4 linked regions of the Arabidopsis thaliana genome follow. The protein of the gene in region 2 interacts with the protein of the main gene of each other region in a pairwise test. Each region holds a gene or a part of one and is shown on either strand. Other genes may lie near its edges.

Region 1 (3,116 bases), 3.5 Mb from region 2:
CACAAGATAAAGGTCAAGAGGAGAGGGAAGTTGCTGCAGAGTGCAGACATTATGGTAGGGAAGGAATCATCATCACAAGACAAAAAATAACAGTAGTGTGAAGAGTCACCTGCACAATTTATCTTTAAGCTTGCAAACATTAGTGTCCAAACACCACCCCCACCCCCCCCCCCACCCCACCCCCACACACTGTTCTCATGTTTACTGAAACTGTAATGCTTATGTTGTTCCGTTTAATAAACATGCGATGATTATTATTTCTTAGAACAGAGAATCACTGAAACAGGTTTGAAAAGAGAGGATGTTATATCTGTGAATAGAAAAGACAAAGACAAAGTGGAGGAATCAGAACTCAGCCACGGTTATTGCTCTGTTGAGAGTCTATTGGAAATTTGGCTTTATTATGATAGAGAGCAATCAGAAATAGATAAAATTGGCTTTTAGTAATTAATGTTTCTAGGGATGATGATTCAAATTTATTACAATAGCTGAATACAGATCAACAACAACACATCAAATTGATTCAAGATGTTCTTAATAAATCATAAGAATTTAACAAAAGCCTGCATAACCGTAACCGTAAAGTTCATTCTGCATTAACTGATTCAACCAGGGGTTCTTCACAGATTCTTCTACCGCCGAGTAATGTTGTGTGTTTGAGACGCAAGGATTTTGAAAGCTGTTGCTATTGATGTTACCCATAGACATGTTTTGATCACAACCATAAAACTCCTTGTACATCAATTGATTCAACCCAAAGTTGTTGACAGATTCTTGTACCGCTTCTTTGTTTGAGACGCAAGGATCTTGAAATTTGTTGTTTGTGATGTCACCCATGCTCATGTTCTGATTCTGATCATAACCACAAATCTCCGGCTTCATTAACTGATTCTTCAACTCAGATTCTTCAAGTAACGCTGAGAAATAATCCTGATTGAAATTTGATGCAGAGACTGGGATCTGAGACAGAGTATTGTCTCCATGGTTATACATAAACAGCGAGAACTGGCTAGGGTTCAAAGATTGGGTGTAATGATTCAGAGAGGATGGTGTTAAACTCTGATGATCCGGTTTTGTCTGATTCTGTTTCTGCGACTCAAGAAATCGAAGCCTTTCTTGGAATTTAGAGACATGGAGTTCCAAGGACTGAATCAGTGGAGAAACTTGGTCGGGAGGGTAATGATCAGCGAGTGGATACTTTAAAATATTCACGTTCTTAAGACTCGTCTTCATCTTCTTGTTCGGATTCTTCAAACCCTTGTTCTTCTTCTTGTTCAGGAACCCATGAAGATTAACGCTTTTCTTGCGTCTCAATGCTTCGTTCAATAGACTATACCTAAGAGCAATGTCTCTCACTTTCTCTTTCTCCTTAGGCCATGTCTTAAGTTCTCCGTCTGGTCCGTAATAGATAACGCAGGCTTCGATATCACAAAGAGTGCAAAGCTCTGAAGCTTTCTTGAAGATGGTCTCAAGCCTATTGCTCAAACTTGTGAAAGCGAGTGAATAAGAAGAAGAGGACGAAGGTGAAGATGATCGCATAGTCATCTTCTTGTTGATTGCAAAGACAAACTCTGTGTTTTTTCACGCTCAAAGTTAAGAGAAAGCACGAAGACAAACTTTGGCTTTGTGAAAAAGATGATGAACTATGAAATAGTTAGAAAGAATTAGATATATTTATAGATGATCGGTGATAAAAAAACGCGTAAAGATGTGTGCATAGATAGATTCGTTTCGATTTCCATATATTTGCATAGATTCGATTTCCATAGATTTTACGTTCTAGAGCCGTTAAGGGTTGATAAAAAGGAAACACAACTATAATTTGATATCATTAACCCTTGATATGATCTAGTTTGGTTTGGTTAATACTAGTCTTCAAATTCTAGCTCTAATCAGATAGTATTTTATACATCTACGCAATTATTTGGGCCTTGTGAGGCCCATTTAAAATTATGGACAAAAAGCGACGTCGTCTCGGATCTGACCTAGGTTTTTGTTTACACTCTTCTTCTTCTCTCCATCTCTCAGTCTCTTCGTTAAACCCACCCACATTTGAAGCGGCAAATAACGAAAACCATGGATCCGAAACCAACCTCGATGTGGAGCTCAATTGTGAAGAAAGATCCACCTTCAAAGCCTCCGGTTAACGACGGAGCTCCGGCAGCGATTCTCGGGATGGTCGGAAACTGCAAATCCACAAAAGGAATATCTATTGCGGTTGTTGACGCCAACGCCATCATTGAAGGACGTCAGAGCTTAACAAACTTCGCCGACAAATTCGTAACTGTCCCTGAGGTTCTCTCTGAGATTCGTGACCCTGCTTCTCGCCGTCGTCTCGCTTTCATCCCTTTCACTATTGATACCATGGAACCTTCTCCTGAATCTCTAAGTAAAGGTACACTTATTAGTTTTGTGATTCTTATTCTTGTGATTGTGAAATTTGTACCTAAGTAGGTATTTGTATATTCTTGTGTTGGAGAAAAGATTGTATTGTATCTCTGAGATTGATTGTTTTTGGTTCTGCAGTTATCAAATTTGCAAGAGCTACTGGTGATTTGCAATCTCTGTCTGATGTTGATCTGAAGTTGATTGCTTTGTCATACACGCTTGAGGCTCAGGTTTATGGCACCAAAAATCTTAGAGATGTTCCTCCACCGATTCAAACTGTTAGAGTTAAGAGATTACCTGAGAAGGATTTACCTGGTTGGGGCTCCAATGTGGCTAACTTGGAGGAGTGGGAGGCACTTGAAAACGAGACTGAGGAAAAATCCAACGCTAACTCCAAAATCCTTCCATTGAAAGACCTTAACATGAATATTATTGCTTCAGACAATGTTTCTGAGGTTGGTTCTGTTGTCTCTCATACTGAGAATCATGAAGAGGATGTGCAGGAAGGTGGGAAGAAGCATAGGCGATACCCGCCCAAGAAAACAGAGATTAAGCTTGAGGGTAAGATGGTAGTGGAGGGAGTTGATGCATCCCAGGGGCAATATGATGATGATGATGATGCTAGTGATTGGAGACCCGCAGTCAGTAGAAGTACTCACTCAAAGTATCTTAGAAGAAAGGCAAGGTGGGAACATTACAATGCTTTGGCTGAACAAGAAATTCAGAAA
Region 2 (4,063 bases):
CTTAATCAAAGCGGTGGAAAGACGATGAATGGGGATGGCGACGAGATCGAGTGGATGCAGCGGAATGAAAGGGGAACGAATTGTACTTCCAAGAGTGATGAAAGACTCTTAGACTACGAGCTTGGATCCAACTTAGATATTACACACTAAGAAGAAAACAAGTTGAAAAGATACTACACACTTTTCAGATCAAACAAGTGAAAGAGAAAGTTTTTGATTAAAATGTTTGATGATTACAAATGAGAACTACAATGAGTTTATATAGGAGAGGAGGAAGAAGGGGAAGAGGTGAGAGAAGAAAGACATGCAAGAGCATGCACAAGTACACACTCATGCAAAGAGTTTTGGAAATAACAAAAACAATAAATGCAAAGTTTGAAGAGAAAATAGAAAATGGGCCACGGCATTGTGAGTGGGCCTTGGACCACGAATTGAGCTGATAAAGGGAGGCTTGAAAGTGTTCCTTAGGCCTCATTAAAAACCTTGTCAAGAAAACCCATTGGGACAAAACTTGATAAGGGAAAAAGAATGCATAAGCAACACTTAACCCTTTACCGAGCCTCTTGAGCCGTGATCACTATGAAGGAGGATTGAGTCACGTCTTCTTGATTCTTCTTTAGCTCCTTGAGTAGTCCATTGATAGCTTGGTTGAACTTCTTAGATTTTGATCTTGTTAGAGGACCCGCCAGAACGATTAATGCTTCCTCCGGTACAAGCTGCTTCTCGTCTTTTTGTGGTTCAAGTGGTTTGGTTGCCTTGGTCATGTTCTCATCGCATGAGTTTGGACTTGAAACTACAAATACAAAACATAGAAACAGAAGACAAATATTATCATTAAACCAAACTGATGAAGCAGAGAACCAGTTTGATTTCGATCAATTTCCCTCATACATATATGTATGGAAAACTGATCGAGGTCAAACCAGACCCTTTCATTCATTACATTGCTAAAACATATCTGTAACCAAAATTAGCAGAATCAATACATACATATAATAAAGAAGTAACTAGAAGTTAGTTTGAAAACTGCAGAGAAATTATCTTCAAAGTGCTGAAATAGTGTTTGCAAAGTCTTTGAAACAATCAGAGAATCGTAGATTATCTCCATCCAAACATCTCTGAAAATAAGAAAACGGAGTTAGATCCACCGAGACTTGATCATCAACAACAGCGTTCAAAATACTTGCACTAATCTCCTGATGAGTAGTGTTGTCCGAAAACCAATCATTTAGCGCGCTCTCAAAAGGCGTGTCGAAGCCAATGTCTTGATCGTAATCCAGGTTCATTTCAGGTAAAGCAGCGTTGTTATCCATAACACAAAAAGTTTCACAAATCGAGCGAATCTGATCTTGTTCTTCAGTGATCTCATTGAAATTTTCAGGTGAATTATCAGGGACGCAACAAATTGCAGAAGTACTCGACTGAATATTTAGGGTTTGATTTGGCTCTTGAGTAATCTCGTTGAGATTTTCTGGGATGCAACAAATTGGAGAAGCGGACTGAAGAATTAGGGTTTGATCATGAGTTTCGTGGTCTGAAACAAAATCGCACTTGTCGTTGTTCTTCAGGTCCTCGCGATCATTAACGAAAGCTTGATTACAGGCTAAAGCTTCATCCGCACGCAATTCCTTGAGATTCCTCAACAGCGTCCGCATAGAGTCGATCGCTTCACTAATCTCTTGAGGATTCTCCGATCTGGCAAGGCTCTCGTCGTTCCACCAAAAACCTAACCCTAGATTATTGCGAGTCAAACAGATACCAACGTCCTCCCTCGTCTCTTTGTTATCCTTCGGAACAGGACGTTGTCCGGAGAGAAAAGCAGAGACAACGGCATCAACAGAGGAGTGACCGAAAGAGTAGAAGGATACGTTGGATTCAGAAGAAGGAGGAGTCGCTAAGATAGCGATCTGTGCGTCTGAGAGAAGACAAAGCTGAGAGGCTTTGCTATAGAGACCTTCACGGCGTTTGGTGCAGGTAACCCTAAGGGAATCTCTCTTCTGTATCGTCTCAATCGCAATCTTCCTCTTCGTGCCACCTTTTTTCACCATTCTGATTGATTTTTCTCAATTTTGTTGAGTGTGGAGAAAGATAATTGAAAAGTGAAGGCTTCTTCTATCTCTCAGTCTCATATATATAAGGGAAATATCGAAACCCCATATCAATATCATCCACCTAAACCGATTAAACCACATGGACCGTAATCTTGTATGGGCTAAGCCCAACTATCCACCAGAATCCTTTTTTAGTGCAGTCTTATTTATTTTTATTTTGATAATTTTTAGTTATTGTATTATGATTCAGATTTATTTGGAGATATTTTTATTTTTCAAAAAATATTATTTTGCTAGATTCTACAAAAAAAATTTTGTCAGATTATTATGAGAGAGACAAACAAATATATAGCTGGTTCTTCACATTATCGTGTTCATTCTTTCTGGTTCTTCACTCCTTAAAATGTGGCTATGGAGTTGACAAAGGTGACCTGGTAGCAGAAGAAAACTTTGTTAAAGACCTACTGAAAAACAATAGTCCATCAAATAAAACTAACAAAAAAGCCTATCAGCTATCCTAAACACACAAAACTCAAAATATCAATACCAAGAAGAAACAATTGTAATTGGTGACTATAGAACAAACCTTGAGAGAGGGTCATCAACATATAATCACTGACTGATTTCATTGGAGCTTAACCTTGACAGTGTTTCAAAAACACCTAGCAATATCTATCACTCAGTTTACTACCACTGTCTAGAGCAACCAAATCGTCCAGACTTTCTATAAAAACGTTGTTTCTTAGTATTCATCAATTTTTTGTCAAAAATATTTGCAATTATACTGTTTTTGTCTTGATCATCTATTGTAGACTGGATATTTGCACATGTAATGTCAACAATTTCATCTGTTGTTGTACCATTAGCAGAAAAAGAAATGATTCTCAAATTTGGGGTTGGTCAGTCAACAGAAGATGATTCCAAAGCATCAAACGTTTTTGACCTCTCCTCCAATTTCTCTTTACATACAATTTCAAAAAGAAAAAGATTATCTCCAACTAAACCCTAAACCTAAAATTTTCTAACTGAAGGAAAAAAAATCCCCTAAAATTCTCTTCTGCCATTAGAACCAGAGTTTTTAAAGAATTGCAGGAAACCTAACTAAATAATTTGGAAACATGAGAAAAAAAAACATCAGTTTATCTACATAGGCGCGATGATAAGCTACGAAGAAGGTAGCGTCCGGTCGAACCAGTTAGAGAGATTTGAGATTTTGGCTGCTACACTTTTATTTCGACCAAAGAAAGTCTCTGCATTGGACAACATAACTGATACGTCGTGTCGTAATGCTTCCACACTTCGGTAATAGTTGTTCTCAAGCCTTGATCTGATTACTTCAAGAGACAAAGGAACTGGGAACCTGCAGAATGAATCCATAGAACAAAACCATGTCAGCTTTGGCTCCACCAAAGACTCTTCCAGGGTTGTAGAAATTTACCTGTTGGAGTAGCTGGAATTTCCCACGGTCTGGTTCAGTTTTCGGAGGCCAAAAGAATCCTGAAACAAATTAGCCCACATTATATCAATATTGTTAGTTCTTGGGATAATGTTGTGTCTTAATCCACTAAGCTTTAGAATGTGATCTATAAACCAACTAAGCTAATGTAAACATGGGCCTAAGCTCTTTGGGTGAAGTCTGAATTTGGTGGGGAGGATAGGCTAGATTTAACACCATGAGATATTATATTCATTAGGATCACATACCTGGGTTCTCTTGTCTGAAGTCTCTAACTTTGTTAAGGCCGAGAGCAAACGGTTTCGTTGCTCATCATCAATGTGAGGCTGCTCCCACTTGGTATCTGCATCAAAAAGCTCCCAGGGACTGTGAAGATGTGTCTCGGCAGGGTCACTCTTGTACTTAACTGTGTACCTCTCCCACGGACTATCAGGAAAATCAGGTGATTTGGGTTTCACAGCTAGAATCCGTCCTTCCCACCAACTACCATCTTCTTCGCCTTCGTCTCTCCACCAAACTTTACACTTGTCCCTGCAAGTCCAGTTCCTCTGTATTG
Region 3 (3,567 bases), on a different chromosome or scaffold from region 2:
GACTTAAAACGCCTGTTGTCGTCCTCCGTCCAGCGTGGACTCGAAGCCATAGTATCCGAGAAAATGAGAAAAAAAAAAAGAGATGGCTAAAAATTCAAGAAACAAGAAGATCGTTTTGTGGAATATGTTACGGAAGAGCGATTGTTTGTTCGTTTTAATTTTGGCAACCTGACAATTTATAGAGGATCAAGTAATGGGTGAAAATTACAAAATTAGCCCTCACTTTACAAAAAGAAACACGATTTCGTATTTAAACACGCACAACTTGACTCAGAAGTTTTCTTCTCGTTTACGTTTAGACGTACGCAGTGGGTAAAACTTGGAGTGTAATTTCAAGTTATTTTAGTTTCCTATTTAACCCCAACTTTATATATACTACGTACTTAACTTGAAAGCTCCATCTTACGTGTATCTTCTGTTTAGCCTAGATGAAATAAAGCAAAAAATAAAAACATTGAAATATATATTATTTTAATGGTTAAAGAAAATAATATAGATGACCACAAAATTAAATAAAATATGGTTTGCCAAAAAAATGGAAATCCCAAATCTTTAACATACCACACAAAAAAAATAATCAAGGGCCTTCAATATCTTTAGGCTTTTTATTTTTTGGTTGTTAATACAGTCATAGAGATTTATATCACTTTGAGTTGGGGGCCTTAGCATGGTGACCGATTTCCAGAGCGACGAGACTCTCTTGTTGGCCTGTTGAGTCCACATTGGTGTTATTTGCTCCCTGCCGTTTCATCACATTCACATCGGTGCTTGCCACATTTAAGTCGTTAATCACATTTTTCTTTGAGCTTTGCCACTGGTAAAAGTTTTCTGCATATATCTCGACTTGGATCGGGCTCTTGCAATCCAATAAGACGGCTATTTTACGCCAATCTTTCCCAAATCGGTCTAACCCAATCAGAAACCATCTGCATTACAATTTCCACCAGTTCATAGATCAGCCCATTTTAATCAAGTTTCACCATGGCATTATTAGTTAACGATATAAATTGAGTCAAATGAAAAAAAAAAAAAAACTATATTGTCCACATTAAAAAAATAATGCTAGAATGTGTAAATCGTAAGATCATAGGACTAAATACATTTTAATCTCAGAAATGAACTATGTGAATTATGGAGTCTAAGAGGAGAATGCGTCTAGCTAGATCCACAAACCAATACCAGTACTAATCAATCATTATGTTTATAATTGAAACTTATACGTGTATGTAAATTCCACTAACTAACAAAAATCATAACTCATCACTCATTAATCTTATATACTTACTCATGTGTTTCTTTGGTCCATATAGTTCTCTCGGCCTGGTACGAACTTTGAGCCATATCCTTAGTCAATTCATTAGGAAAAGCTACTCGACTGGATCCCATCTCTAAAAGATCATTGACCAATTCCTTGTAATGCTCCTTAACATCATCCACCGATCTATCCACATACTCGGCGACACTCTCAAACCGAGTAAGCAAAAAGGCAGTGAACATCACCAGTGCATCCTTGAACATCTCGTTCTCCTCTGTCGTCCATGAATTTTCAGCCATGATTCCCAAAACAAATTAAGGAAAATGAAGTCTACAAAACAGAATGGTGTGAATCTGGAGAACTACAGTATATATAATAACTCATGTAAGGGATATGGCAGCTTATAAATCAACTCAAGTAACAAAAAATATATGGCTTCTCTTCTCTCAAATTGGGGTGTATTAAGTTTCCTTCCTTTTTCTTATATTCAAAGGGTAAATTTTATTTCAGATTTTGCTATATTGCATACAAAGTCTTTATTTTATTTCTTTCTACTGATTTATTGTCATTCATTTAGTTTCCTATATCCTTTTTATTAAATTTGTTTTATAATATTGACGATTTTAGCCAATTAGATTATGATACGTGTACAAATAAATTTTTATTTTCACACGTGTTAGCAATCAGAATTATGATACGTGTTACAGCCAATTAGATTATAACACGTGTATAAACAAATTTATGTTTTCACACGTGTTAAAAATTAAAAATTTAACATACAAAAGATTATAGACCTAATACCACACAAATAAAATAAATAGTCAAAACTTTAGAAATTAAGAACTTTCATTAACATGAAAGAAACAAAAAATTGTTTATTTTTTCAAACTCTCTTCACACGAAAAGGAAAATAATCAATCATAATTATTCACCAAGTTGTGAATATTGCGACGGATTGCAACGATCCCGGTTACTGGTTGGTCACTCTGATACTTAAAAGAGTAACATTTTTATCCATGTTCGTTGGTTGCATTCGTTAAACAAACAAGTTGTGATTATTATCGACCATTGTCCAAGGAAAAATAAGCATTCATTATTTATACTAGGAATTAAATATTTGCCGTCTAAACTCAAATAATAAAAATTGGGAGACCGAACAGATTATAGAATATTTGTGTTAATGCTTACGTGATTTATTTATTTTAGTCGATGCTTATGTGATCACTGATCATTATGAATACAAAAAAATAGAAGCTACTTTAATATAATAAAACTAAGTTGACCAAAATAATAATAATAATTAGCGTTTCCAAAGCTTGTAATAAATTACACCAAAAAGCGTCTAATTCTTTTTTTCGTCTCTCAGTCTTTTGCAATCTCACATTATAAAACCACTTGTTTCAAATTACTCTCAAAAACATTATAATCCGTTACATATTGACCCGACCCGAAATGGAGGCCCAATACCGGAACCACGACGGAGACACCTCTTTCTCTAGCCTCCGTGTCTACCTCAACTCTCTCTCCGACACTCCCTCCCGTTTTTCCCGCCGAGCCGTTTCCGTTTCCACCTCTTACGACGAGATGAGCCGCGTCCGCGCCGTCTCCGGCGAGCAGATGCGTCGTACTCTCCGTTGGTACGATCTCATCGGACTCGGAATCGGTGGAATGATCGGAGCCGGAGTCTTCGTCACCACCGGCCGTGCTAGTCGTCTCTACGCTGGTCCATCAATCGTCGTCTCTTACGCAATCGCCGGACTCTGTGCTCTACTCTCCGCCTTCTGTTACACCGAGTTCGCCGTTCACCTCCCCGTCGCCGGCGGTGCTTTCAGCTACATCCGTATCACATTCGGTCAGTAACATTCTCCCGCCAAAATCAAAACTCCCAAATCGCAGAGAAATTCAAATTTCATTTTTTCCTCTCCGATCATTCATTTTTTTCCGTTACAGGCGAGTTTCCGGCGTTTATAACCGGAGCAAATCTGATAATGGACTACGTACTGTCAAACGCCGCCGTTTCAAGAGGATTCACCGCTTATCTCGGATCTGCATTCGGAATCTCAACATCGGAGTGGAGATTCATCGTCTCCGGTCTCCCAAACGGATTCAACGAAATCGATCCCATCGCCGTTATCGTCGTCCTCGCCGTCACGTTCGTCATCTGTTACAGTACGAGAGAGAGTTCGAAGGTGAATATGGTATTAACGGCGTTACACATTGCATTTATAGTATTCGTGATCGTCATGGGTTTCTCGAAAGGAGACGTAAAGAATTTAACCCGACCCGATAACCCGGAAAACCCATCCGGATTC
Region 4 (3,152 bases), about 11 Mb from region 2:
ACTGACACAAAACTGTTCATTCTCAATCCTCCGGACACACTTTACCTGAGCTTGTACAAGCATGAATCCTTAGAGGAATCTAAAGACCTATCAGCAAAACTCACTAAGGCATTGTAATCTGGAAATTCATTGGAATCTAAATTCAACGAAGCCAGAGTTTCTCCACCTCTTGGACAAAACACTACTTTTGACATCATCTTTTGTCGGAAGCTGCAGTAATTTGCTTATCCTATTATCTTCTCTTCCATTAAATCGATTCGTAAAATTAAACTGAAGATCACACCGAGACAAGCTCAATTACTCAATTAGTTGGCTTATCTGCATAAATTATGTACATCTAGCATTCATTTCAATGTCTATTGTATATTAAAGATCTTAATAAAGCAGGTTTTCAAACTCAAATTGTAGACTCATACAAATATAGAAGAAGCCAAGACTTTTTTTAAAACTTGAAAAAATAGCATTCATACATACTTAGAAAACATACAAATTAAACTCATAACCTAAACTGAGAATATATAATAGAAAATAACAGAACGTTGACCAAGTCAAAGAACAGATCTTGGAACAACAAGACCTAATTATAAGAGAACATCATTGGATCTGCAAACGATGGTGCTTGATTCCATGGCGCAAACTGATCAAAGGGGACAAGTGGGGTTTGTGTCTGCATCTGAGGAGTAAACACCATGGGAGGAAGATCAGAGTTACTTCCTAGACCAGATCCTTGTTCCCCAAGTAAAGTCGATTGCTCAAAGCTAGAAACAGAGTTAGGGATTTGACAGAAGCTACAATCATCATGGTTATAGGGAAAGACTGAAAATTTGCTCTCATGTTGACTCAATGATGACGTTGATAGGTCTTACTCTGTGTTTGACAATGGTTCTGTCCATTGTTGTTGATGTTGATGATCCTCAATCAGCGAAGGAGAAGACAATGGATACGTTGTGGAATAAACCGCACAGCTCTGACCTAACTCGGTCTGGTTTTTCTCGGGTTGGAGTAACAGAAGCTTATCTTGTAGTACCCGTAGACCACTTTCTAACGAATCCTCCATCTCTAAGACTTTCTCCGACAATTTCTTGTCGTGGAGGATCTGCTTACGTAGAAACAGAGAAAGGTTGGTTCTTTTTTTGCATCGTTCTCTCTCGTGTAATCTGCTAAACCTCTCTGCCATGTCTCGAACCTTAGATTGATCTTCCGGCCATGTCTTGATGAGTTTTCCGTCACGACCATAGTATATGACACAGACTTCGATGTCGCACAGAGTCGAAAGCTCCAAGGCTTTCTTAAACATGGTCTGTTCTCTCATCGACAAATTCGTGGTCTTTTTTGCATTGGAAGAAGACAGAGACGATTTCTTGAAACAAGTTTGGTTTCTTACAAACAATTTGGTATTCTTCTTCGTAGACGTTGAAGAATCCATTGTGATGTTTGTTTACACAGAGAAAGAAAGAAAAAGAAGCTTTCAGTTATTTCTCAAAGAGAAAATAAACTCTGAACGATATAATTCAGTGAAAGTTGAGAGGGTTATATAGAATTTGTTAAATTCGATCGATTTCCATATCGTTTCTTCATTTAATGATGTAATCTAAAATCAGATCCGATTTCTAACCGTTGTAAGGTAATAATTAAATAATTAATTAAGGTAAGCAAAAACCCTTAATTGTTGTTTACACAAAAAAAAAGAAAAAAAAAAAAGAAAGAAGTAGCTTATCAGAGAGAAAATAAAATCTGATAATTGTGTAACACGGTTCTGATATTAATCTAACCGTTGGGGTTTTTCAATAATTGTAGTAAAAATCCTTCTTCTTCTTTTTTTTATTTTGATCACGTCTAATAAAAATCCTTTGTATGTTTGATATCATAGAGGAAATATAAATTAGATCCGATTTTACAAATATCAATCTAACCGTTGTAGTAAACATTTTCTATATAATTTAAGGACAGCAACAAAAAAAAAACTAAATTGATTCCACTATTTTCAATATATGTTCTTCATCATTCGCTTCCCTCTCAGCGGCTAAACAAAACTCTTCGCTCTCTTCGCTCTCTCTGCTCGAATATATTTGATTAGTCGTTGTCTCTTTCTCTAACTTGTTTACTAACGCTTACTTCTCTTCTCTGCAAGCTTTTATTTGATTAGTCCCCTTTCTCTAATTTCGTTTAATTCCTTCTGTTTCGTTGTAATGGATTCGGATACGTGTACAGTTCCAGACCACTTTCTTCCGAGGAAACTTTCCAAGCAAAACTTGGACAGATTCATCCCAAACAGATCCGCCATGGATTTCGATTTTGCTAACTACGCTCTTACCCAAGGAAGAAAACGTAATGTCGATGAGATAACTTCAGCATCAAGAAAAGCCTACATGACGCAATTGGCTGTGGTTATGAATCAGAATCGCACCCGTATTCTTGCTTTCAGAAACAAACCTAAAGCTCTGCTTTCTAGCAATCACTCTGATTCTCCTCACCAAAACCCTAAATCCGTAAAGCCTCGTAGATACATTCCTCAGAATAGTGAGAGAGTCTTGGATGCACCTGGTCTTATGGATGACTTCTACCTTAACTTGTTGGACTGGGGCAGTGCTAACGTCTTAGCCATTGCTTTGGGAGACACCGTTTACTTGTGGGATGCTTCCAGTGGCTCTACGTCTGAGCTTGTGACTATTGATGAAGACAAGGGACCTGTCACAAGTATTAACTGGACGCAAGATGGTCTTGATCTGGCAGTTGGTCTTGACAACAGTGAAGTCCAGCTTTGGGATTTTGTTTCCAATCGTCAAGTGAGAACATTGATAGGTGGTCACGAGTCAAGAGTAGGATCATTGGCATGGAACAATCACATTCTAACAACTGGAGGAATGGATGGAAAGATCGTCAACAATGATGTGAGGATCAGATCTTCCATTGTTGGAACTTACTTGGGTCACACTGAAGAGGTTTGTGGTCTTAAGTGGTCAGAATCTGGAAAAAAACTAGCAAGTGGTGGTAACTACAATGTAGTACACATATGGGATCATCGTTCTGTCGCTTCCTCAAAACCAACTAGGCAATGGCTGCATAGGTTTGAGGAACATACAGCTGCAGTGAGAGCTCTTGCGTGGTGCCCTTTCCAAGCAACTTTGCTTGCAACTGGTGGTGGTGTAGGA

Evidence for each region.
Region 1: the proteins of AT5G49420 (region 2) and AGL75 interact in a two-hybrid assay, tested with the Arabidopsis thaliana proteins (one large-scale study listed by BioGRID).
Region 3: the proteins of AT5G49420 (region 2) and AT3G10595 interact in a two-hybrid assay, tested with the Arabidopsis thaliana proteins (one large-scale study listed by BioGRID).
Region 4: the proteins of AT5G49420 (region 2) and AGL54 interact in a two-hybrid assay, tested with the Arabidopsis thaliana proteins (one large-scale study listed by BioGRID).

Annotation. Positions count from the first base shown.
Region 1 is NC_003076.8:16,488,973-16,492,088, reverse strand, and holds AGL75 (AGAMOUS-like 75), read right to left. Parts: upstream 1,546-3,116; coding exon 553-1,545; downstream 1-552. Other genes in the region: AT5G41190 (RNA-binding NOB1-like protein), read left to right, coding at 2,077-2,395, 2,527-3,116. UniProt on the Arabidopsis thaliana protein: Probable transcription factor that may function in the maintenance of the proper function of the central cell in pollen tube attraction.
Region 2 is NC_003076.8:20,034,123-20,038,185, forward strand, and holds AT5G49420 (MADS-box transcription factor family protein), read right to left. Parts: upstream 2,084-4,063; 5' UTR 2,049-2,083; coding exon 1,044-2,048; 3' UTR 991-1,043; intron 794-990; 3' UTR 550-793; downstream 1-549. Other genes in the region: AT5G49430 (WD40/YVTN repeat and Bromo-WDR9-I-like domain-containing protein), read right to left, coding at 3,216-3,411, 3,490-3,548, 3,756-4,063.
Region 3 is NC_003074.8:3,311,262-3,314,828, forward strand, and holds AT3G10595 (Duplicated homeodomain-like superfamily protein), read right to left. Parts: upstream 1,571-3,567; 5' UTR 1,555-1,570; coding exon 1,286-1,554; intron 927-1,285; coding exon 644-926; 3' UTR 524-643; downstream 1-523. Other genes in the region: AT3G10590 (Duplicated homeodomain-like superfamily protein), read right to left, coding at 1-50; CAT7 (cationic amino acid transporter 7), read left to right, coding at 2,708-3,107, 3,206-3,567.
Region 4 is NC_003076.8:9,530,119-9,533,270, reverse strand, and holds AGL54 (AGAMOUS-like 54), read right to left. Parts: upstream 1,532-3,152; 5' UTR 1,427-1,531; coding exon 863-1,426; 3' UTR 574-862; downstream 1-573. Other genes in the region: CDC20.3 (cell division cycle 20.2, cofactor of APC complex-like protein), read left to right, coding at 2,190-3,152.